Linked DNA regions of Xenopus tropicalis. The protein of the gene in region 4 purifies or fractionates together with the protein of the main gene of each other region. This does not show direct contact. Links are inferred from orthologs where the notes say so. Each region holds a gene or a part of one and is shown on either strand. Other genes may lie near its edges.

Region 1 (6,078 bases), on a different chromosome or scaffold from region 4:
CACAAAGTCTTCAAATGCAGTGATGTTCTCCTCTAAAACATCTGTGCCAACTTTGTCATCTTCAACCACACACTGGATCTGCAGCTTTTTAATGCCATATCCAACAGGAACAAGCTTTGCTGCAGAAGGAATAGAACAATTGAGATAACAGATGACGGTTGATAAAGCCATTAAATGTGCATTTTAAATCAAGTCTACTTGCTACATATTGTCAGAATGTAAAGACTTGTACATTCAGTAAACACATACCTTTACAGTGTTTAAATAAAAGGCAGTCAGAATAAAAATACATCCATCATTAGCATCAGTCGAAAGATGGTGATATTTTAATCATCATTACAGTTAAGGTGAAGATATTCTTTAGACTACCTACAAAATATAAACTTACATGCTCCCCACACCAAGCCTTCCATCTGTATACTTCTGACACACTCTTCTAGCTTGGCCATATCCGTTTCATCATCCCATGGCTTCACATCAAGAAGAATGGATGATTTGGCAATAAGTGCTGGTTCTAAAGAAACAAATTGGTTAAGATTTAATCACCTTTGGAGAATTTGAAGATTGTGAAGAAGTGTAAATTAGATTATGTCCGCAAGTAAAGGACTAGTAATATATAAACTGAATACACATTCTAACAGCCTTAAGCCACACATTCAGACTACCCCAAAATCCCACAAAATAAAAGCACAAGTAAAATTCTAGTGGGAAAGTCAAGTGTTACACCTTTCTAAGTCACAAACCATAGCCACTGCCTTGCTGAACATACTATAACAATACTATATGGCATTTTTTACACTAAGGTTTACACCATATAGTTTGTAGACAGTGGTACAGAATAAAACAGAACCATGTTTGAAATACAGCCAAGTCCTCCCAGACTGAGAGGAAATAAAGCTGCAAAACATTTTAATGTGCCACAGGAGGAATGCTGGAACTGCCACATAGTAATACAGCTCCAGACCAGTATCTGTGGCAAGTATTTCCATTCCACAAAAAAAAAAAAAAAAAAAGGAACTGAAGACCAGTATGTAAACAGGTAGTGATTGCACTTTGCTTTTCTTAAGGCAAAACAATTAAAAACATATGCCTTAAGGAGAATAAACACTCGGGAGAAGGCCACTTACTTTTAGACTTCTTTGCTTCATACTGTGCTAAGCGTTCTTCGCGGACCCTCTTTGATTCTTCATTTTCCTATGAAATAGAAAAACTTAAGATTCTGCACAATAGCAAGTTTTTTTTTTGTTTTTTTAAGTTAACAGGCTGGTGTAGTCAGTTTAGAAGACAATATGCATCACAAATCAGCCGAAAGATGGTGATTTAGCTCATTCATCACATGACCAGCCTGAATATAGTACAGCCAAATTTGTGTTTTACACAACTCCCTTCACATGTTTAGAACCTTAGTAACCAACAGCAAACACTGCTTCAGGTATGTGGCCATAGTAGTGTGCCTTGGGCATGTAATATAATGAATTTGTGGTTACAGTGGAGCACAATTAAAGCATGCACGCATTTTTGCTACGTTCATTGTCCACAAGGAGACTACATGAAACACAGCAAACTCTCTTTACATTTCAGTCTGTAGAACAGCATGTTAAAAAAAAAAAAAAAAAAATTATGGACACAGCTGTACAGCCAGTGTAATTTATTCTGCACCTTATGCTTCTTAGGTCTAATTTTATTACATCTAAAGATTGTTACACATCCCACCTCTTCATCATCTGAACCAAACAAGTCAATGTCATCATCATCATCCTCTTCCTTGGTATCTTTTGCTGTACTGCCTGTAGTATCTTCTATGTTAACAGGGCCATAGTTTCCCAGAGGCTTCTTCACACCAGGCAGGCTAGGAAAAAAAAAAAAAAAAAAAAAAAAAAAAAACTACTTTACAAAGGAGAAATATACTTCTAGGCTATTTGCATTAGCAGCTGCTTAGAGGTGAGTCACAAGGAATATACAGTTATCTAGAATTACATACAACTTTAGAGAACAAATTACAATAGAGAACAAATTACAATACTGACATCTTAACTGCAAATGACTGCAAGCTGGCCCAAATATGGGTAGCCACGCTACTATTTGACGAGGCTCCTCTGCATGTCTGACTGGGCATTCTGTGTGCTCAGCTAGCATCAATTAAGCCAAGAGAATGCAATTCTGTCCTACTGTCAAAGAGAACACTTCAGGTTAACATTTAGTATGTTATAGAACAGCCTATTCTTAGCAACTTTTCAGTTGGTTTTCATTTTTATGGTGTATAGTTTTTTTGCCTTTTTTCTTCAGACTCTTTCCAGATTTCAAATGAGGGGGGGTGGTCACTGACCTCAGAATCCAAAAATCTGTTGCTCTGTGAAGCTGTTTTTTTTTGTACTTATCTTTCTATTTAGGGCCTCCTATATTGAATTTTCCATCTTTCAAACTACTGGCTAGTTGCCTAGGTTAAATTGGACCCTAGCAACCAGATATGTGAAACTGGACAGCGGTTTAACAAAAAAACAATCATTCAAACACCAAAATAAAAAAAAAAAAAAAGTTGTCTCAAAATTGTACAGTATACTAAAATTTAACATAAGGGTGAACAACTCCTTTAAAATACTTCATAGACCACAAAAATGATACACATTCATGATCCATGTTAATTAGAATTGTGCCCATTTACATTCTACAGCAGGCCAACAGTACTATCAAAGCTTATGTATGTTGCAGCCACTTTCTGGCTGCATGAGCACTACAGCCATAGGCAGTGATTTTTCAGCTGGATGTTAACCAATAAACCGAATTAAAAAAAAAAAAAATCTGATTCAGATTAGATAAGTATAGTAGTGAACGTGCTTCAAAGTGCTGTAGAACAGCTCAACCTAAAACAAAGAATATTGTATTCAGCACAGTATCATATTTTTTCAACCATGCTCCTTTATCAATCACTGCTGTGAAAGCAATAGCTATACTTTATCATACTGCTTACCTACTTTTCTGCTTTTCATAAGACTTGATGTGGTTGTACCAACGCAGAGCATGGAAAAGGTCAGCAGGGGGCGCACCAGAGAGGGCATCAAATACTGCAACATCAGCCTGGGAAGGGACATATCTGAAAAGGGTGGGGGTAAATATACAATTAGCAGCATAACCACTAAACATAATATAGTACAGTAGAAAAAACTGTATAAATAGTGTCCAAACATTTGTTTCCTATAAACATTATCCAAGTTTTAAGGCTATTTGCACATTTAGTTACACTGAACAGTTTATATAATTTTCCGTTCTCTGACATAGTGCAGTTTAAGCAGCTGGCTTCTGCTACATCGGCTCAGCAGTCGTAGCCAGCAGTGCCGAAAGTGTAGAAATCCAGACCTATTCTGCTTTTAATACAAATTACATTTACAAATGATTCCAAGAAACACTTAATTATTAACATTAGAAAGAATACATAACTAAAGCACAAGGCACAATTAACCAGGCAGCCTTTACATATTACATCACTTGGGATTTTGTGACACGTTTACGGCACTGCAGCTAAAAGAATTCAGGAGTCAGGCAGCAGGAGGTTGCGGCCTAGGACCACGCGTTGGAAGCCAACACGTTCATTCATATTACACATTCCTTGTCCTTTCGAACATTAGCACAACTATAATATAGCATTTACCACACTGACCCCTCGATGTAGCTCTTGTCGGCCAGGAACTCATTCAGGACCTTAAGGCCTGCAGGGGATTTGAGATCGCCGAAACCCATTACAGCAATTCACTCAAGAAGCCTAGCACACACGGGTAAAGAAAAGAACTTGCAGGCCGGGTAGATGCCTTTTATAGACAGGGGGCGGGGCTACGAGGGGCGGGCTAAGCCTTCCTTAAAGACTCACTATGTAACATGTACATCATTTCAAGTTTATATTTTTTTTTATCCGCACCCTTTCGGCAAAGTATTACTTACTGGAGACCATATCTTCGTTTTCCGACTGCAGAAATATTTGGGATTGCATGTGTTGCCGCTTATCACGGAGATAGCCGATGTTAAGTCGATCCGGAAACTGCCTGTGCCGAAGACTAACGATGTTGCGTTCGCAACATTTCGGAAACGAAGTTTCTCCGAGTCTCGTTCGTCATTTTTGCCGGACTTTGTCGATCTCTAGTCTTTGCCTGTGCGGAAGTTACCGAAGCTTTCTCAGTTACGTATAATTCTTACCATCTTCCGTGGCTTGTTCCGGAGGTTGCTTAAATCCGCCATATTGGTCAAGGGTGCCGGCCAGGGCTGTTCTGGTCTAGAAGGCCAAATATTCCCAGAGCTGTTTAGGGGAGTCGGTGGGGTGAGTGGTTTGGAAATGGCAATTCTTTGTAATGTTTTGCATAACCGATGCGGTAACCCTGCGTTACGGTGTAATGGTGTTGGCTGTGTGTCTAGCAAGGTAGTAGGTCACTCTTGTGCCCTTGACAGATGTAGTTTAGTTCGGTAGGACTTGGACTCTTCTATTATTCGCTAAAGATTTCCAGACTCCATCCCTTCCTATACTAGCAAACCCGCGGGCTACAGCGTTCCATAGTCTGTGCATGGGTGCGCGTCTTTACTCAGAGCTCTGCTGGGATTCAGTAATGCGCTTCTCTCCTTGCACATCCTCTAACCTCTTAGTTATTGCACATTGCGCGAAAATTACACATGCAATTGGTTGCGCTGGTTAAGTCGTTACTCAGCAAATAGGGAATATTGTAATATTGATTAAAATTAGTTTTTATGACCTGGCTTGTGGCTCAATGGCTATGGCAGATTTTTTTTTTTTTTTTTTTGTGGGGTGGGATAAAGTATAATACAGGTATGGGACCTGTTATCCAGAATGCTTGGAACCTGGGGTTTTCCCGATAAGGGATCTGTCTGGAATTTGGAACACCATACCTTGAAGGGCACCCTGTCACCCTGAAAAATGTTTCCCCAAGGACAGTTGCAAGCTAATAGAGCCAGCATTCTGTTTGGGAAAAACAATTTTTTGGTGTGTGTCAGCCGCACTAGCCCACACACACTGGGAGAGAGCTTTTGGTGAAGGCTGTCATGTTCTATAGCAGGCATCCCCAACCTTTTATACCCATGAGTCACATTCAAATGGAAAAAGTGTTGGGGAGCAACACAAGTATGGAAAAAGTTCCTGGGGGTGCAAACAAGAGCTATAATTGGCTGTTTGGTTGCACCCTATATGGATTGGCAGCCTATAGAAGGCTCTGTTTGGCTTTACACTGGGTTTTATGCAACCAAAACCTACCTCCAAGCCAGAAATGCAAAAATAAGCTCTTACTTTGAGGACCCTGGGAGCAACATGTTTCTTATGAACCACTGGTTGGGATCACTGTTCTATAGCGTGCATAAAAAGCCAGTCTCCTCACATGCTCATTATCATCTGACATTAATTGCGAATTGCAATTTATGTCACATACCTGTGCATAATGAGCGAGATGTTGCTCTCGCTCATCCTTTTGCATGTGCCCCAACATAGCCACCCACACCAAAAGCTTCCTACTGGTGCAGGCAGCCTAGTGCTGGTGGGGGCTATTTATTATTATTTTTTTTTAAACTATTGTTTCCCCCAACTGGAGTGCAGGCTCCATTAGCCTGCACCACTGGTGGGGGAAACAATTTCAGGGTGACAGGTGTATCTGTAAATATAGCTCTCATACAACAAAATCCTGTATTGAAACCCAGTTTTCAAAAGAGCAAACATATATTTTTTTTTCATATTTAATTTAAATATGATGTGGGCTAGACATCTTCTTAGTTTCCCAGGTGCCCACAACCATGTGACTTGTTCTCTGATAGACTTCAGTCACTCTTTATAGTGGCAGTGCAAGTTGGAGTGGTCACCCCATACCTATCCCTTACAGCAGCATAAAAGCAAAATAATGGGAAGGTAACAAGATAACAGCTCCCTGACACCTGGTAGATATGAGCGTAGCACTTAATAGTTTAAAACTGAAGTCCTGAGTAGGAGAAAAAAATCGCTAATCTAAAAGCAGTTGCATTCTGAAGTGCTGGCACTTTCTAAAAGCACAGGATCTAGCACAATGCTCTGAAATGACTGCCTACACGTCAATATTG
Region 2 (4,925 bases), on a different chromosome or scaffold from region 4:
TGCATTGTGCCCGAGTCTGAGCTTTCAGAAAGAGCCAGCGCTACATATTAGAACTGCTTTCAGGTAACCTTGTTTCTCCAACTCCCATGTAACTGAAGGAGTCCCAAGCCGGACCTTGGATTTCTTACTATTGAGTGCTATTCTGATATCTACTAGGAGCTGTTATCTTGCTACATCCCCATAGTTCTGCTGATCAGCTGCTGGGAGGGGGGTGATATCACCCCAACTTGCAGCTCAGCAGTAAAGTCCATGTGAAATTTCAAAATGAAATATAACAAAATCTGTTTGTGTTTTTGAAAAACAGATTTCAATGCAGACTTCAGCTGGAGAAGCACTATTAACAGGTGCATTTTGAAAAAACATGTTTTGCCATGACAGTATTCCTTTAAAGGAAATACTGACAGTTTGTCAGCAGTGGGTAGCTTTTTGGTTATCTTCAAGTCCAAAGGACCTGGTCAAAAGATGCAAGTCCCTGCTAGTCACATTCTGGAGCTACAGTGACAGTCTTTTGGAAACCATCCCAGTTGACTATTGTACTGTATGGCAAAGCTGCCTTGTGATACACACTGACAGTGCCACCATGGCAGTGTATTAGATTCACCAGCAAGGAATAAAGAGACATCTTGCTTTGTAGGAGGCAGAGAGCATGTGAATGTGGTGATGAGAGTGTATCTATTATAGGTGCAGAATGTGGATGTCACCTTTATAGATGTAGACTCTGGACTTATGCAAATGGTCTTTCCACAATGAGTTGATACCCAGAGATAGGGCCATATTGCAAACCCCAAAGTCCCTGTATTTTACATGTGAACAAGGGTCTGTTTTTCTGCTGTCATCCTGTTGAACTGGCCCAACCTTCTGTCTCGGGGTCCAGTCCTCCTTCAGGACTTAACCAGTGTATTTTGACACATTGATCTTCAGTCCACCTGAGAGGAGCAATAATTTTCATTAATTATCTGTGCTGTGTTCTTATGGATTTCTGCCTCCCACCTCTACAACAGCGTTTGGAGAACTTATCTGAAGATTGATTTGGGATCCAAAATTGAGTGCTGAAAACTGTAAAACGTTGTTTCCATATTTTCCTCAATTTGACAGATTTTCCTCAAAATTCTTCCCTAACCCCCCCACCCCCCAACAAAAAAAACCCCAGGTCTCTTCATATTTTGCATCCTGTTAGAGCACTAAAGATTTACACTAGCAAGTCTTAAGAGTTTCACTGTTCTGACTCCCTTTATGGTTTTTACCTTATGTCTGGTAGCTCCCTTACAGTCTGTTGCCCACCAGTATCTCCAGAAGGGACAGGAGAGCCTGCCCTGGGCCTAAGCCTAGGTTGGGTACCCAAGGGCCATGTAAGATATACAGGACCCCTTAAACGTCTCCCAATGCTCATTGCAGATTTAAATCTTCAATATCTTTTGTTTTGAAAGCCTGGGCTGCAAAGTTCTGTCAGGTGTGGTTTCCTAAGCAGCCTTATATTTTGTGGGCCCTTGTTACTTTGGAGCATTTGGTATGTCACAGTGGGAAAGCTGAGAGGGGTAAGACCATTGGATTTAGAAAGCGATTAACTTTGCCCACATGTAGTAACACAAAGCAACCAATCAGATTAGACAATCAGAAAGTTTAAAGTATGACCATTTATTACCCCTTATATATTTTTACTTTTGGGTAACCAGTGCAAAAAATTTTTTTTTTTTTCTTCTGATTGGCTCATAGGAAATAATAATATCCAGATTGCTGGAAGTTATGTGTGTTTCAGAATTATATTCAGAAAGAAGAAGAATGCCTTTCATCTGGTGCAGGCAAATTTACAAGTATGCCAAGGCTCTGCTGTATAGGCAAAACCAGACAGATAGTGCTTAATCCATAACTGGTCAATATAGTGTTCCTAATATTTCCTTTATGTGGGGAAAAAAGGACAAAACAGAACTTTAGAAAAAGTTTCTATGCTATATGCTGGTTATATGCTAAAAAACTGAGTGAGGTTTTATAAGTTAAAAAGTTAAATATACCCATTTGTCGGGTGGAAAAAAATATTATGCTTTGTGTTCTAGGTTTCGTTCAATGTCAAGATGCTGACACCGTTTCTGTGGTTACTGCTTACACTTCATTCATCACGGTCCTCTCTTCCTCACGCTCTCTGGTTACTCTGAAGGCTCAGGATCCTGCTCCAGCCGGAAGCGCTGTTAATACTGCATCAGATAAAGCTACTGTGTATGTGGTGCTCAAGGTAAACCTATTACTTATAGAATATGTATGTATAACTTTCTTTATAAAGCACCACATGGGTACGCAGTGCTGTACAATGTTACAATATACAAAATTACACACAGGGAGGACAAGTGTTATAATAAATACAATAAATAAGTATAAATACACAGAGAATAAGTGTCATGTGGTATGAGAAACAGTAGGAGGGCCCTGTCTTGTAGAGCTTACAGACTAAGTGGTTGGGTAACATACAGGCACAAATTGAAAGGGAAGAGTGCAACTAGGTATGGGCATTTGCCATTAAGCGCAGGACTGGGCAAAATAATGTTTAAGTGCTCCAGAAGGTAACAGCTGAGTTTTTTCTCAAAGAGAGTTAGTGAGTGTTTTCTATCCTTCAGGGATAGAGTTCCAGAGGTAAGGAGCAGGAAGATAGAAAGGTTTAAGACGAGAGAGCGCAGTGGGTGTGGATGTGAAGTGAGGCTAAGCAGGTTCCCTCTTAGGAGAGAGCAGGAGGATCCTGGCAGCAGAGTTTAAGATTAATTGCAGGGGAGAGAGGTGGGAGTCTGGGAGGCCGGTTAGTAGGAAAATATAGTAGTAGTAGTAGAATATAATGTAGAATATAATGTGAAAAAGAATACTTACCAGTGGGACACCTGCATACATATAACACTGATCCATTTGCTCAGTTATTACACACACTGCGTGATTCTATAGAAAGAGGTAACCACTTTACATGACTTTCACTCTCATGTTTGTGATGCTCACATAGTTTTCTGTCTTGCACAAGCATATATTTTGCTGTCACTTAAATATAAATTCTCTTCACAGGGCCTAATAGATGTAGAGAAGGAGCTGGCCAAACTGCAAGTTAAGAAGACTGAATTGGGCAGACAGCTAGAGAAGCTGCGTGAGAGGATGGGCAGTGCAGATTACCGCAGCAAAGTGCCCGAAACAGTGCAGCAACAAGATGCAGAGCGGGTAAAACAAATTGCTACTATTTACTGATGGGTGTGCTGTGAAGGTTAAATCCATCCTAACATTATCTTTTTTTTATTTGATATATTCCTTGATTTAAAAGTTTGCCTCGCTAAAGAAGTGATTTTAGGGATATTACAAATTTTAGCGATAAAAGCAATATTGCTTTTTTTAGAATGTGTAGAAATTTTGGAGTGTGATAAATGGTGGGGGTGGGGGGGGTAGGTTTTTATTCCCACTCCATGTCTTTTAGATGTTTGATTTTCTGGATTTTTTTTCTTTCTCTTTTCCTCCGTGTCTTTTTATTTGATTTATTTCCGGATCCCTATTCCAGATCAGACAGACTGAGACAGAGTTCAAGAAGGTGAATGAGGCTGCAGAGAACTTTCAGAAAATGGTGTAGGGCTTTCATTGGCACCTTGGACCCTTTCATTCACCTCATTGCTGCTTTAAGGAGATGTATTTTTAAATGTGGCTGGTCTTGCAACCCGATATAATAAAAGACAGTGGAAACAAGGTGTGGTGTGATATTATTGTGGGCATCAGAGGAAAGACACAATGGAAAGCTAAATACATGGAATTTGCAATAATTACACAGGAATTGGGGAAGAAAGAATAAGAAGGGATTAGGGGAGCTAAAGAGGAAAGAGCAATACATATGACTTAGAGGGGGACAATGTTGGGTGGAAAAAGGAGCCAATGCAGATTTGCTATAGTGTTGCCTTTCATGATTTTTTTAAACCCAGGGTATTTATCTGGGTAGGAAGCAGTTGACTGATTTTTATATTTTTTGTCAACCAATGCTGCATTGGGACTCACAGAGGGCATGGAGATTTCTCAGTTATTAGAGGGAGCTTTTTCTTTCTCACGCTCCTCCCCTGCTATGTGGTATTGTGGGGACACAAAGAACTCGTGACCTCTCTCACACACACACATTCACACAAAAGAGAGGCACGCAATGAGTAGGACAAAGGAGCACACTGGTTCATACAAAGCTGCAAAGGAACTTAGAAATGGGTGCTTTTGTGCAACTTCTATTTCCCAATGCATATACATGGCTAGTTTACTACTGTACATCCTTAATATTAAGTCGGTGATTGCCTTTAACATTGGAAAAAGTTACCCTGTCTATCTTCACTTCCCATTTATGTCATTTCTGCTTTTATCATAAACCAATGAGTAAAACCACATATTAAGTAGCTGTACTTCCCAATAGAAACACCTCATTTAGCGTGTGTAGCCCTTTAAGAGTGGAGGGTGGATCTCGCAGTTGTTTTGACTGATAACAATGAGAAGTGGTTATTGGGGGGGAGATAAGCCGTGTAAGGAGACGCCGTCCCTTTAGGAAACGCGGAGAACTGCCGGTGCAGATGGGCAGGGGGTAATGTGTAAGATTCGCTCCCTTGTCTGGCAGATAAGTGGTTAATATGGGGAAATGTGAATTGAAAGGTATATCTTGCAAAGTGTATGAATGATTAAAGAGTGTGAAAAAATTGTTTTGTGTAATCTGTGTGACTGCAAGCTGTATGTGCATGTTCCTTTGTGTAACAAATAGGAGCAAATTGCCTAATTCTTGTAACATAATTTAAGAAGAGCTTAGGTTTGTTCCAACAATATCACTATAGATATGTGCCTGTTTCTAGGTAATATCATAATCAACTGTATGGTATATATGTTTGTATGTGTAAGGGACAGTTATTAACATGCATACTGCATTTCTGAATTACAGTGCTTGGACTGGC
Region 3 (5,420 bases), on a different chromosome or scaffold from region 4:
CCTCCTTATTTCCAATGTTTGCTCTTCTGCTCTCTGCAAATAAATGAATGGGGAAAGGGGTACAGAGGAGGAGGGAGTGCATGCATTTAAAATTGCAACTGGGCCCAGGTGCTGCTTAGTTATGTCACTGTTTGGATGGTCCTAAAATAACCCAAAAATTGTGCACCTACCATTTCTGCTCTCGTTCTGGCCATTTTCTCTTCTTAAAAATCTATTTATTTAGATCAATCCATGGAATCCCCAGCCCAGGCCCAGGTTCAGTCACATATCCTGCCTGCTGGCCTCCTGGTGGGAAACTGCCCAGAAATAGTGATTTTACATAAAAACATTTCAGTAAAGATGTTTCCACATATTTCGGACAAATACAGATTTTCTGTACTCGCCAATATCGATCAACCCTGCTGGCATGTCCCATTATAGGTTGAGAACCTTGGGAAGTGTTCTATCTTTGGAGATGGCCACTTATAGTTCTGCTGCTTGCACTCCCTACACTAAGGTGGAATTATAAACATAAGCAGTATTCCTGTGAAAGGTTATTAAAAAAAAAAAAAACTTATGGATAGCTGGCCATTCAAACAGCAGCTGCAAAGCTGAAATCATAAAATAGCAACCTGGCAAATTATACCTTAATCTCTTCATATTTTTATAGGCATTCCTTGTGGCGGAATGCATAGAATTGCACTACAAGACAAATGCTGACTTGGAGTCTCAGATTTAAATTGGAGAGCATGTGAGCTCTGAGATGAGCTGTGAATCTTTATCATTCTACATCAAGGTTATCCATTTCTTTTTGTCCCTCTTTCTGTGTGTCTCGGGCTCCTGCAGACTGGGTATAATGAAAGTCCACTCTTAGGGTGAAGACACACTGGGCTACTAGTAGCAGCTACTTTTTTTTTATGACTACTAAACTCCAGAAAATACCCTGCCATAGACAATACTGAGAATTGCCTCTGCTAAAACACATGTAGAGGCAATTATCTGTAAATGATCAGCATTCTCTTTTTTAGTAGTCACGGCAAGTAGCTGCTACTAGTAGCTCTGTGTGTTCTCACCCTAAAGCTGGCCATACATGCACCGATAATATCGTATGAAACCTCGTTGAAATCCTATTGTTTCTTCCTCCACATCTGCCATTTCACCCCTGAATGTTAGTGGCGGATTGGAACGATCGCACAAAAGATCAAAAATCGCCACGTGTGTGGCCACCTTTAGACTTGTCACATATGTCTCATACTTTCTCTGACTTGGTGTTAATAGGAAACCTAATTCTCACCTCTCACATATTTCTCTGACAGTGGGCAATGATGAGCTCCGAGGAACCAATCGTTTACACCAAGCTCAGGTCATCCAGTGGGTCAGCTTCTCAGACAGTCACATTGTCCCTCCGGCCAGCGCATGGGTCTTTCCCACTCTGGGGATCATGCAATACAATAAGCAGGTAAGAAGGGTTCATTATTCTGCTTTATTTTCTTTGGTTAACTACACACTGCTGCGTGCTTATCTGCTAAATTATTTATTCATCTAACAATGGCCTTTCCTTTTCTACTTTGTGCTGCGTCGAGATGAATTATGAAATACTTTGCTTTACAAATACTTCAAGCACCCATAATGTTTGGGGTCAGTAGGACCCTTTAGGGTGACCAGATTGCTTGAAAATTCAGGGACGTGTAATGAAGAGAAAAAATAAATCCAGCTAGCAGGGCTGAACTGATTTGAAATACAATTCCTGCGACATGTACTAGATGTGTCCTTGAATTTTCAAGTGATTGGGTCACCCTACTTTTTGCCGCAGCCATAGCTTTAGATGAAGTAAACACGAGGCAGTTGTCAGAGATGGATGAACTGCCTGATCCAAGATCGATATGGGTTTAACAAGATTTAACTGTTTTAAATTGAAAGATTACCTTAAAAAGTGTGTGTATATCTCTGCCCCACCCTTATTTAGTGAATGTTATGGTTATATGTATCTTTCGGTTTATTGAATGGTGTGAAGTGATCTGTGCAGTTAGCTGGAAAATAGCAGCTTGCTTAAGGGCTGTGACACACGGGTAGATAAGTCACGGGTGACAAAACTCCCCAAAATGCCATCCCACCGGCTAGAATGTAAATCGTCGGTGGGATGGCATATGCGGCGGTGTGATTTGCGGAAGTTGCCAGAGTTTCCTCTCAAGGCGACTTCTGCGAATCACGCTTGATGCTTATGCCATCCCACCGGCGATTTACATTCTAGCCGGTGGGATGGCATTTTGGGGAGGTTTTCTGTGCAGCGACTAATCTCTCTGTGTCACAACCCTAACTAATTCCCCCTGGTTGGCATAATGGCGGATTCTAGTCTTCCTGGCTACTTTTTAGTACACGACTGTTTGTTATCTCAACAACCCTCTTGGATAGGGTTTTTTTTGTTAGAAGGTAGTAAGCCTCAGAAGCAAAAATAATTGAAGATTGAAGAAAATAATAGACCATTTTACCTCAATTTCTGTCCTTTTAAAACTGGCCATTTGGGATTATGGCTCTTTCTGTATATTTCTAGGCCACAGAACAAGCCAAGGAGGAGATAAAGGCTGTGCTGGGTGTTTTAGATTCTCATCTGAAGACACGGACATTCCTAGTGGGCGAGAGGGTCACGCTGGCTGATATAGCAGTTACTTGCTCTCTTCTGTGGCTCTATAAGCAGGTCTGACACTTTAATTTTTATCTGTTTCTCCTTTGTCTTTTATTCCTCCTAACTGTATTCCTGTTGTGAATTTGTAGCCTCCTTTAGCCATATACTTCACTATATTACTGTTTATAATAAAGATCCATTATACCTGTTCTGGTATACCAGTTCTTCATCATTTATTGGATTTCCCACACTCAGAATACATAAACACTGAAGTTTTTTTTTTTTTAATTTTTTTTCTATTCTAACTTTCTGTATAATAATCCTCGCCATTTACCCCATTTCATGTATCTACATCCCCATATTTTCACACTCATTTCTGTCAGCCTTTGTAGCACTTCTTTTTAGTGTCCATATATTAATTTCTATTTATCCATAGGTCCTGGAACCATCCTTCCGCCAGCCATTTGGTAATGTTACAAGGTGGTTTGTGACCTGTGTGAATCAGCCAGAATTCCGTGCTGTGTTGGGAGAAGTCAAGCTTTGTGACAAGATGGCACAGTTTGATGGTGAGCCTGAACATCCTATAAAATTCTCTTTTCTATCCCATTACCCTATTACCCTGTGCCTACACAGCAGCTTTGTTTCTGAAACACTGGTATAGTTTATATAAACAAACACACAACTTTTACCTGTGCAGAACAGTGTTTTTGAATTACTTTAAGAAATAATTTTTTTGGTGTTACTGGTCCTGCAAGGCAGGTTTGGTCTGTTTTGCGCTAAATCATTCTTGTACTGAGTAGCTCTTATGGTCAGCAAAACCGATTAATTTGATTTAGAGCTCAACTATAAACAAATTGTCTGGGCTGTATATAGGGCCAGGGTCTTTGTATTTATGAATACTTCCAGGATTGGAATGAACAGTATTCTGTATAAAGCATCATCTTCAGAATGTCATTTTTATAAACAAAATGTAGCGCAGTCTGTAACGGGGCTAAATATATACAAGCCATTTTTACAGGTGGTGGTCTACTTTTGATAGGGATGTTAGGTTAACTTATTGTATTTGCTATGTAAAATAATTTTTAGCAAAATGGCAATTCAAACTATTTCACATTGTATGGTGGTGTTTCTGCCAGGCTGAGAGTGTTATTTTTAATTTTCTGTAGCTAAGAAGTTTGCCGAGATGCAGCCCAAGAAAGAAACTCCCAAGAAAGAGAAGCCAGCAAAGGAGCCAAAAAAAGAAAAGGAGGAAAAGAAGAAGGCAACACCAGCTCCTGCTCCTGCCCCAGCCCCTGAGGATGATATGGATGAATCTGAAAAGGCTTTAGCAGCAGAGCCTAAATCAAAGGACCCATACGCACATCTACCTAAAAGGTAAGATCATTGAGCAATTGATGTAATTGTTGTCATCAGACTCTACAACACTACATCCCAATCTTAAGTGACCAGTTATAATCTTTCACTGTCATAGACCTTTATCGTCTTACAAGTCTTCATTTTCCCATGCAGCTCTTTTGTAATGGATGAGTTTAAGAGAAAATACTCTAATGAAGATACCCTGGCTGTAGCTCTGCCTTATTTCTGGGAGCACTTTGACAAGGAAGGCTGGTCCATCTGGTACGCTGAATACAAATTCCCCGAGGAGCTGACACAAACCTTCATGAGCTGCAACTTAATTACAGGTAAGAGGTAAATGTATGCATACACGGTGCTGCCTTGAAAAGCACTGATACAAGTAATGGCATGTAGTTAGGCAAAGGCTGGTAGTTTTCAGGGGATTAAACAAACACTTTGATGTAAAAATGTTATAAAGACGCTAGTGCCCCTGGTCTGTAAGCAGTACTATACTTGCTAGTAGTAGTCCTTAAATAGAACTCAGTCATAAATATTTCAAGGCTTGTGCATTTGTACATCTGGCAGCTATATAATTTTATATAACCCTAATTAAAACCATTCAGTGCCTTAATGCAAGCAAACCTTTAAATGTACATTGTCACCAGTTAGATCCAACAAATAAGTCATGGGCAATGTTCTCTATAAGCTGTGCGTGCACACAAATTTTGGGGACAGTGCACACAAGATTATTGTGGTGCGCACACAGAATTTTTTGTGAGAATACAATATTCTGCATTCTTTTCTGAATACGGTAGCAGCTACTGTTGTGGCTACAGAAATAGACAATGCTGATCATTGACTGATAATTGCCTCTACATGTGTGTTAGCAGAGTCAGTTCTCAGGATTGTCTATGGCAGGGTATTTTCTGGTGTTTAGCAGCCGTGAAAAAGTAGCTGCTACTAGTAGCTCTGTGTGTCTTCACCCTAATAATTGAACCCTCTCTGCCCCCTTAAGTTGCCAGTGCCTACACATTAGTTGTGCTGCCGATGGCAAATTTCTATGGTTGGCATTCAGGTTTTTTTCAACTACAGTGGAACAGACTGTAGTCAAGTAGACAAGTGGACTAATAGTCCAAGTTAAGCATGATGATCAAACATGTGCTAATATTACAGTACTGTGACATAACTTGCTAGAAATGAGCCTGATTACTCCTATGTGGATAAGCTAGTGATCATGGGGAATTTAAGGCTGGCCAATCAGATTTAATGTACATTAAGTCTAACCTGCAGAACAGGTATAGAAAATTTGCTGGGGCTCACTTATCAACACTGGGCAAAGTTGCAGTAACCCATGGCAACCAAAGTTTCGCTTTCACTGTTTAATTAAGAAAAAACTTATGGGTTGCTATAGGTTTACTGTCCAGGTGCAAATTAGCCATTGTGGGGAAAATAAGTACTGTAGGGGGGATTAAACACATTCTGT
Region 4 (6,130 bases):
CACACACACACTGACACACACACACACTGATATACACACACACACACACACACACACACACTGACAGACACACACACACACACTGACACACACACACACACACACACTGACACACACTGACACACACACTGACACACACACACACACACACACACACACTGATACACACACAGTGACACACACACACTGATACACACACACACACACACACTGATACACACACACTGATATACACACACACACACACACACTGACACACACACACACTGACACACACACACACACACTGACACACACACACTGACACACACACACACACACACACTGACACACACACACTGACACACACACTGATATACACACACACACACTGACAGACACACACACACACACACTGATACACACACACTGATACACACACACACACACACACACTGACACACACACACACACTGACACACACACACACACTGACACACACACACACACACACTGATATACACACACACACTGACACACACACACACACACACTGATACACACACAGTGACACACACACACTGATACACACACACACACACACACTGATACACACACAGTGACACACACACACTGATACACACACACACACACACTGATACACACACACACACACACACTGATACACACACACACTGATACACACACACCACACACACTGATACACACACACACACACACACACTGATACACACACACACACACACACACACACACACACTGACACACACACTGGTACACACACACAAACACACACACACACACACACACTGATATACACACACACACACACACACACACAGTGACACACACACACACACACACACACACACACACACACACACACACACACACATATATATATATACACACACACACACACACTGACACACACACACACACTGATACACACACACACACACTGACACACACACACACACACACACACTGATACACACACACACACACACACACACACTGATACACACACACACACACTGATACACACACACACACTGACACACACACACACACACACACACTGATACACACACTGATACACACACACTGACACACACACTGGTACACACACACAAACACACACACACTGATATACACACACACACACACACACACACAGTGACACACACACACACACACATATATATACACACACACACACTGACACACACACACACACACTGATACACACACACACACTGATACACACACACACACACACACACACACACTGATACACACACACACACTGATACACACACACACACTGATACACACACTGACACACACACACACACACACACACTGATATACACACACAGTGACACACACTGACACACACACATTGATACACACACACTGATATACACACACAGTGACACACACACACACACATATATATATATATATACACACACACACACATATATATATACACACACACACACACTGACACACACACACACACTGATACACACACACACTGACACACACACACACTGATACACACACACACTGACACACATACACACAGAATGGCCTTTCCCTAGCAACTTTGCAATTGGTCTTCATTAAGTACTTTTTATAGTTTGTGAATTATTTCCCTTCCTCTTCAGACTCTTTGCAGCTTTCAAATGGGGGTCACTGACCCCGGCAGCCAAACCCTATTGCTCTGTGAGGCTCCAGTTTTATTGTTATTGTTACTTTTTATTCCTTATCTTTCTATTCAGCCCCTCCCCTATTCATATCCCAGTCTCTCATCCAAACCCCTCCCTGGTTGCTAAGGTAACTTGGACCCTAGCAACCAGATAGCTGCTGAAACTCCAAACTGGGGAGCTGCTGAACTGAAAATGAAAAAACTAAAAAACTACAAATAATAGAAAATGAAGACCAATTGCAAATTGTCTCAGAATGTCACTCTCTACATCATACTAAAAGCTAACTCAACCTGCAGTTGCCCCATTGCCCCAGCTGGGTACCTTGGTGCTTTTGTATCTAACTGGGCCTCCATCCAACCAACTGTTCCCTCATGTTCTTTCCATTCTGTCCCCCCAGACTTCCTTGCACTCTCGCTAGTGTCACCCCAGGAGGATGGGGAAAGAGAAGACACACATCAACATCGTGGTCATTGGCCACGTGGACTCTGGCAAGTCCACAACCACCGGCCACCTGATCTACAAGTGCGGGGGCATCGACAAAAGGACGATAGAGAAGTTTGAGAAGGAAGCGGCCGAGGTGAGCACAGTGGTCCCCTGTCTTCTTCACAACCATGCGTACCCCCAATTGTGACATCATACAGATATGTTGTATGGGGGGGGGGCAATAAAATCCATTGGTTGGCGGCATACGGAGTCTGGAGTTGGGTAGTTCTGTTCTTAATATGGCAACCAGATATCACAACTCTGGGATCATTTCCTCACTGTAGATCTCAAGTCAATATTTGCCCAACGTTGCAATATGAAGGTCCAAACTGTGATGTAAGTACCAGGGGGCAGGGCAATACACCAGGGCCTCCTGCCCCAATGGCATTGGTTGTATGAGGGGAAGGATGTCCGGTGCAAAGTCCCCCTGCCCTAATACAGGACCCCTTATCCGGAAACCCATTATCCAGAAAGTTCCGCATTATGGAAAGGCCATCTCCCATAGACTCCATTATAAGCAAATAATTCTAATTTTTAAAACTGATTCCCTTTTCTCTGTAATAATAAAACAGTACCTGTACTTGATCCCAACTAAGATATAATTACCCCTTATTGGGGCAGAACAGCCCTATTGGGTTTATTTAATGGTTAAATGATTCCCTTTTCTCTGTAATAATAAAACAGTACCTGTACTTGATCCCAACTAAGATATAATTACCCCTTATTGGAGCCCAAACAATCCTGTTGGGTTTAATTACTGTTTAAATTATTTTTTAGTAGACTTAAGGTAGGAGATCCAAATTACAGAAAGACCCCTTATCCGGAATACCCCAGGTCCCAAGCATTCTGGATAACAGATCCCATACCTGTAGTAAGCTGTAAGCCTTTAGTTATACCATTGGGACTTTCTTGGTGCAGAAATCATAAAGGACCAATCATATTTTTCGTTTTATTTGAATAACTGCACTAAATTTTGTAAAGCTAACTGCTGATGGGTTGCCGGGGGTAACCTTGAATGATCCTTGTTTCTTTCCATTGGTGAGTTTCTTGCTTGTGTAATGTGTAATGTGCAATGTATGGAACGTAGAATGGATCTGATAATGGGAGGAGAAGTCCATGACTGGGGGTGGGGAGCACAGAGGGCCCAGTGGGGACACTGATGATGTCACAATACTTTGGGGCACCCCCTCCCGGATGGAAAGAAATACATTGTGTATGCGGAGTCCATAAAAGTCTTCATTGTTCTTTTCAGGGGGTGAATTTGGGAGGTGTCTGATTCCCTTTCCAACAGTAACGCTCTATCATGAATTCCCTGGAGGCTTCTCTCAGAGCTTTGTGTTGTTCAACAGCAGGACGAGTCCCAATGATATCCGAGATCAGCTGCGAGCGGAGACCTCAGAGAGAGAGAGAGAGACTCTGCCAGGGTTTAATTATAGCTGCTGCTGCGAGCTGGCAGACTCCATTTTGTGTGCTCGTACAGAGGGCAAGCTGTCCTCTCCGCCCGAGAAATGGAGATTGTCTGGGAGATGTCCTACTGGCCTCCTTCATGTCTTACTGGCCTCCTTCATGCTGGAATGTGTCCCCTTGGCCTTAAATATTCAGGGTAAATGCACGGACTGTCAGTTGTGTGCAGCCCATGCCAGCTCCACCTTCTGTACAGGGAGAACATTGGTTAATACTATTAAAGGGGAAGCCAACCTTCAGATAGAAAAGTGCAGATGCATGTAGGCTACTGATCCTGCTGACCTGCACATACATCATGGTTTGCTTCGTACCACAGTTAATAAGGCAATAGTAATACTGTTGATGTTGCTGTTGACAGTCAGAGCTAAGTGCCACCTAGTGGAGATAGGGTTACCGCTACATTGCTTCAGTCCCAACAACCAGATGTAAGTAGAATACAGTTGCTGCTACATTGTCTCAGTAGGTCAGACTCAACTTCCCCCATTGACTAAACATTAGGTTGGTGATATTTTCATTGTCCTCCCGTTACTGTACAACTGTTATGTTTATTATATTCTATTGGTGACCGTCCTAGTCAAGCTGATGTCCACTCAAGTTTCTCATCAAAACCCATATGTAGGTGGCCACCAGAACTGTCTTAACGTTCAGGTATAAAACCGACCATAGAGAAACTGGAAGTCCAACATTTATTAAGCCTTCACGCATGTGTTCTTCTTTTCTAGATGGGGAAAGGTTCCTTCAAGTACGCTTGGGTTTTGGACAAGCTGAAGGCTGAGAGGGAGCGAGGAATCACCATTGATATCTCCCTTTGGAAGTTTGAGACAAACAAATATTACATCACCATCATTGATGCCCCCGGACATCGAGACTTCATCAAGAATATGATCACTGGAACCTCTCAGGTAAGAGAGAGATTGAGGAGGAGGAGAGGCCCTTACCAAGGTTCCAGTGGAAGGTACTCAAGTTCCACCAAATATCGTAGAGAAGGGTTTTCCCTGTTGGGGGAGGTGAGACCATCTCTGGTGCCACATTACTCACTTCTCTCCCTCTCCTCATTCCCAGGCAGACTGTGCAGTGCTGATAGTGGCAGCCGGAGTGGGTGAGTTTGAAGCTGGCATCTCCAAGAATGGACAGACCCGTGAACATGCCCTCCTGGCTTACACCCTCGGAGTCAAACAGCTCATCGTGGGAATCAATAAAATGGACTCCACCGAGCCTCCCTACAGCGAGAAACGTTATGATGAGATCGTCAAGGAGGTCAGCGCCTACATCAAGAAGATTGGCTACAACCCAGCTACAGTTCCCTTCGTACCCATTTCTGGCTGGCATGGAGATAACATGTTGGAGCCCTCTCCCAATGTAAGTGGAGTCTTGTTCATGAAGGAAGGGAATAATGAATGAATCTGCCATAGGTTTGGTTTGACTAGGTCTTAGGCCGGTGATGGTTGAGGTATGTAGAGACCATGAATGTAATGGTGGAACGTTATAGAGATAACACAACTAATAGGAGAACATACAAGTGATGTTTGGTGAGTCCAGGGACTGGAAAACCTTCATGTCATCATAACAACACAGGAACAGTCATGTTTGAGAATAGATCCATTCATAAAGTATAAGCCTTTGGTCTTATAGATCCAGAGGATCCCTCAGAAGGGAAACATTCCCTTAGAACACTCAACCTACTGCAATGAGTATGATTATATGAGTATGAATGCTCATATCCAAAGTATTTTCTCAAACGCTAATCAAGCGCTCGACTCTTTCTTGAGACTTTCTATAGTATCTGCCATATCTAGGAAAAAAATCTTTTCAGAACCTAAAGGTGGAACCTTCATTATTCTGATGTCAGAAGATTCCCCATTGTCCTCTGGATTCTTTACGAACAGTGCTTTCCAGCTCATTACATGTAGTGGGCCAGTTATATGTCATATAGTGAAGTCTATGGAGTCTCTGAGCAGACTGGGGGCCATAAAAATTCTTTGACGGCCACATTTGGCCCGTGGGCCTCCAGTCAGACAGCCTTGATCTATAGAAGGATCTTCTAGTAAATAAAGCATCAAAGAGTTATATACATGGTGATCATATCTTCTCTCCTCCATTGACTAGTCCTAAATCAGCCAGTTCTTCTTCATAGCTGAGATTCTACATTCTCTTTATTACCTTAGTGGCCATTTTGTATCTCTCCGTGTTGTTTACTGGAGACCAAGACTCTGGTGGGATATGAGGCCACCAGAATGATAGAGCTAAAGCCATAATTGGGATATTATTGACCAATGGCACAAAGACTAAGAACAGTTTCAGACTAATAGTTGGTGTTGTGGAACTGGCTGGTGATTGGCTAAAGATAAGAGGGTTGTTTTTCAAATTCTGACATAGTGGGACCTGATTGGTCAGATAAAGTTTCTGTTGGCTTCAAGGCAAAATAGAATTTGGGTTATGTAGATGTTTCCAATGCTAAAGCTGTA

What was found.
Region 1: the proteins of eef1a2 (region 4) and eef1b2 purify together in Homo sapiens (co-immunoprecipitation; 4 studies listed by BioGRID and IntAct, counting the BioPlex papers as one, with this or other methods). This does not show direct contact. The link is inferred for Xenopus tropicalis from reciprocal best matches to the Homo sapiens genes EEF1A2 and EEF1B2.
Region 2: the proteins of eef1a2 (region 4) and vars1 purify together in Homo sapiens (co-immunoprecipitation; 3 studies listed by BioGRID and IntAct, counting the BioPlex papers as one, with this or other methods). This does not show direct contact. The link is inferred for Xenopus tropicalis from reciprocal best matches to the Homo sapiens genes EEF1A2 and VARS1.
Region 3: the proteins of eef1a2 (region 4) and eef1g purify together in Homo sapiens (affinity purification with mass spectrometry; 4 studies listed by BioGRID and IntAct, counting the BioPlex papers as one, with this or other methods). This does not show direct contact. The link is inferred for Xenopus tropicalis from reciprocal best matches to the Homo sapiens genes EEF1A2 and EEF1G.

What each region holds. Positions count from the first base shown.
Region 1 is NC_030685.2:50,703,151-50,709,228, reverse strand, and holds the start of eef1b2 (elongation factor 1-beta), read right to left. Parts: upstream 3,782-6,078; 5' UTR 3,736-3,781; coding exon 3,656-3,735; intron 3,092-3,655; coding exon 2,969-3,091; intron 1,850-2,968; coding exon 1,714-1,849; intron 1,195-1,713; coding exon 1,128-1,194; intron 515-1,127; coding exon 389-514; intron 120-388; coding exon 1-119. UniProt on the Homo sapiens protein: Catalytic subunit of the guanine nucleotide exchange factor (GEF) (eEF1B subcomplex) of the eukaryotic elongation factor 1 complex (eEF1).
Region 2 is NC_030684.2:75,070,425-75,075,349, reverse strand, and holds the end of vars1 (valine--tRNA ligase), read left to right. Parts: intron 1-2,051; coding exon 2,052-2,227; intron 2,228-3,036; coding exon 3,037-3,186; intron 3,187-3,517; coding exon 3,518-3,586; 3' UTR 3,587-3,699; downstream 3,700-4,925. Other genes in the region: vwa7 (von Willebrand factor A domain-containing protein 7), read left to right, coding at 4,611-4,632. UniProt on the Homo sapiens protein: Catalyzes the attachment of valine to tRNA(Val).
Region 3 is NC_030680.2:36,801,919-36,807,338, reverse strand, and holds part of eef1g (elongation factor 1-gamma), read left to right. Parts: intron 1-649; 5' UTR 650-775; intron 776-1,295; coding exon of another isoform or gene 1,296-1,420; coding exon 1,421-1,438; intron 1,439-2,530; coding exon 2,531-2,674; intron 2,675-3,038; coding exon 3,039-3,168; intron 3,169-3,768; coding exon 3,769-3,976; intron 3,977-4,111; coding exon 4,112-4,284; intron 4,285-5,420. UniProt on the Homo sapiens protein: Probably plays a role in anchoring the complex to other cellular components.
Region 4 is NC_030686.2:2,000,836-2,006,965, forward strand, and holds the start of eef1a2 (elongation factor Tu, mitochondrial), read left to right. Parts: upstream 1-2,116; 5' UTR 2,117-2,151; coding exon 2,152-2,295; intron 2,296-4,387; coding exon 4,388-4,567; intron 4,568-4,727; coding exon 4,728-5,024; intron 5,025-6,130. UniProt on the Homo sapiens protein: Translation elongation factor that catalyzes the GTP-dependent binding of aminoacyl-tRNA (aa-tRNA) to the A-site of ribosomes during the elongation phase of protein synthesis.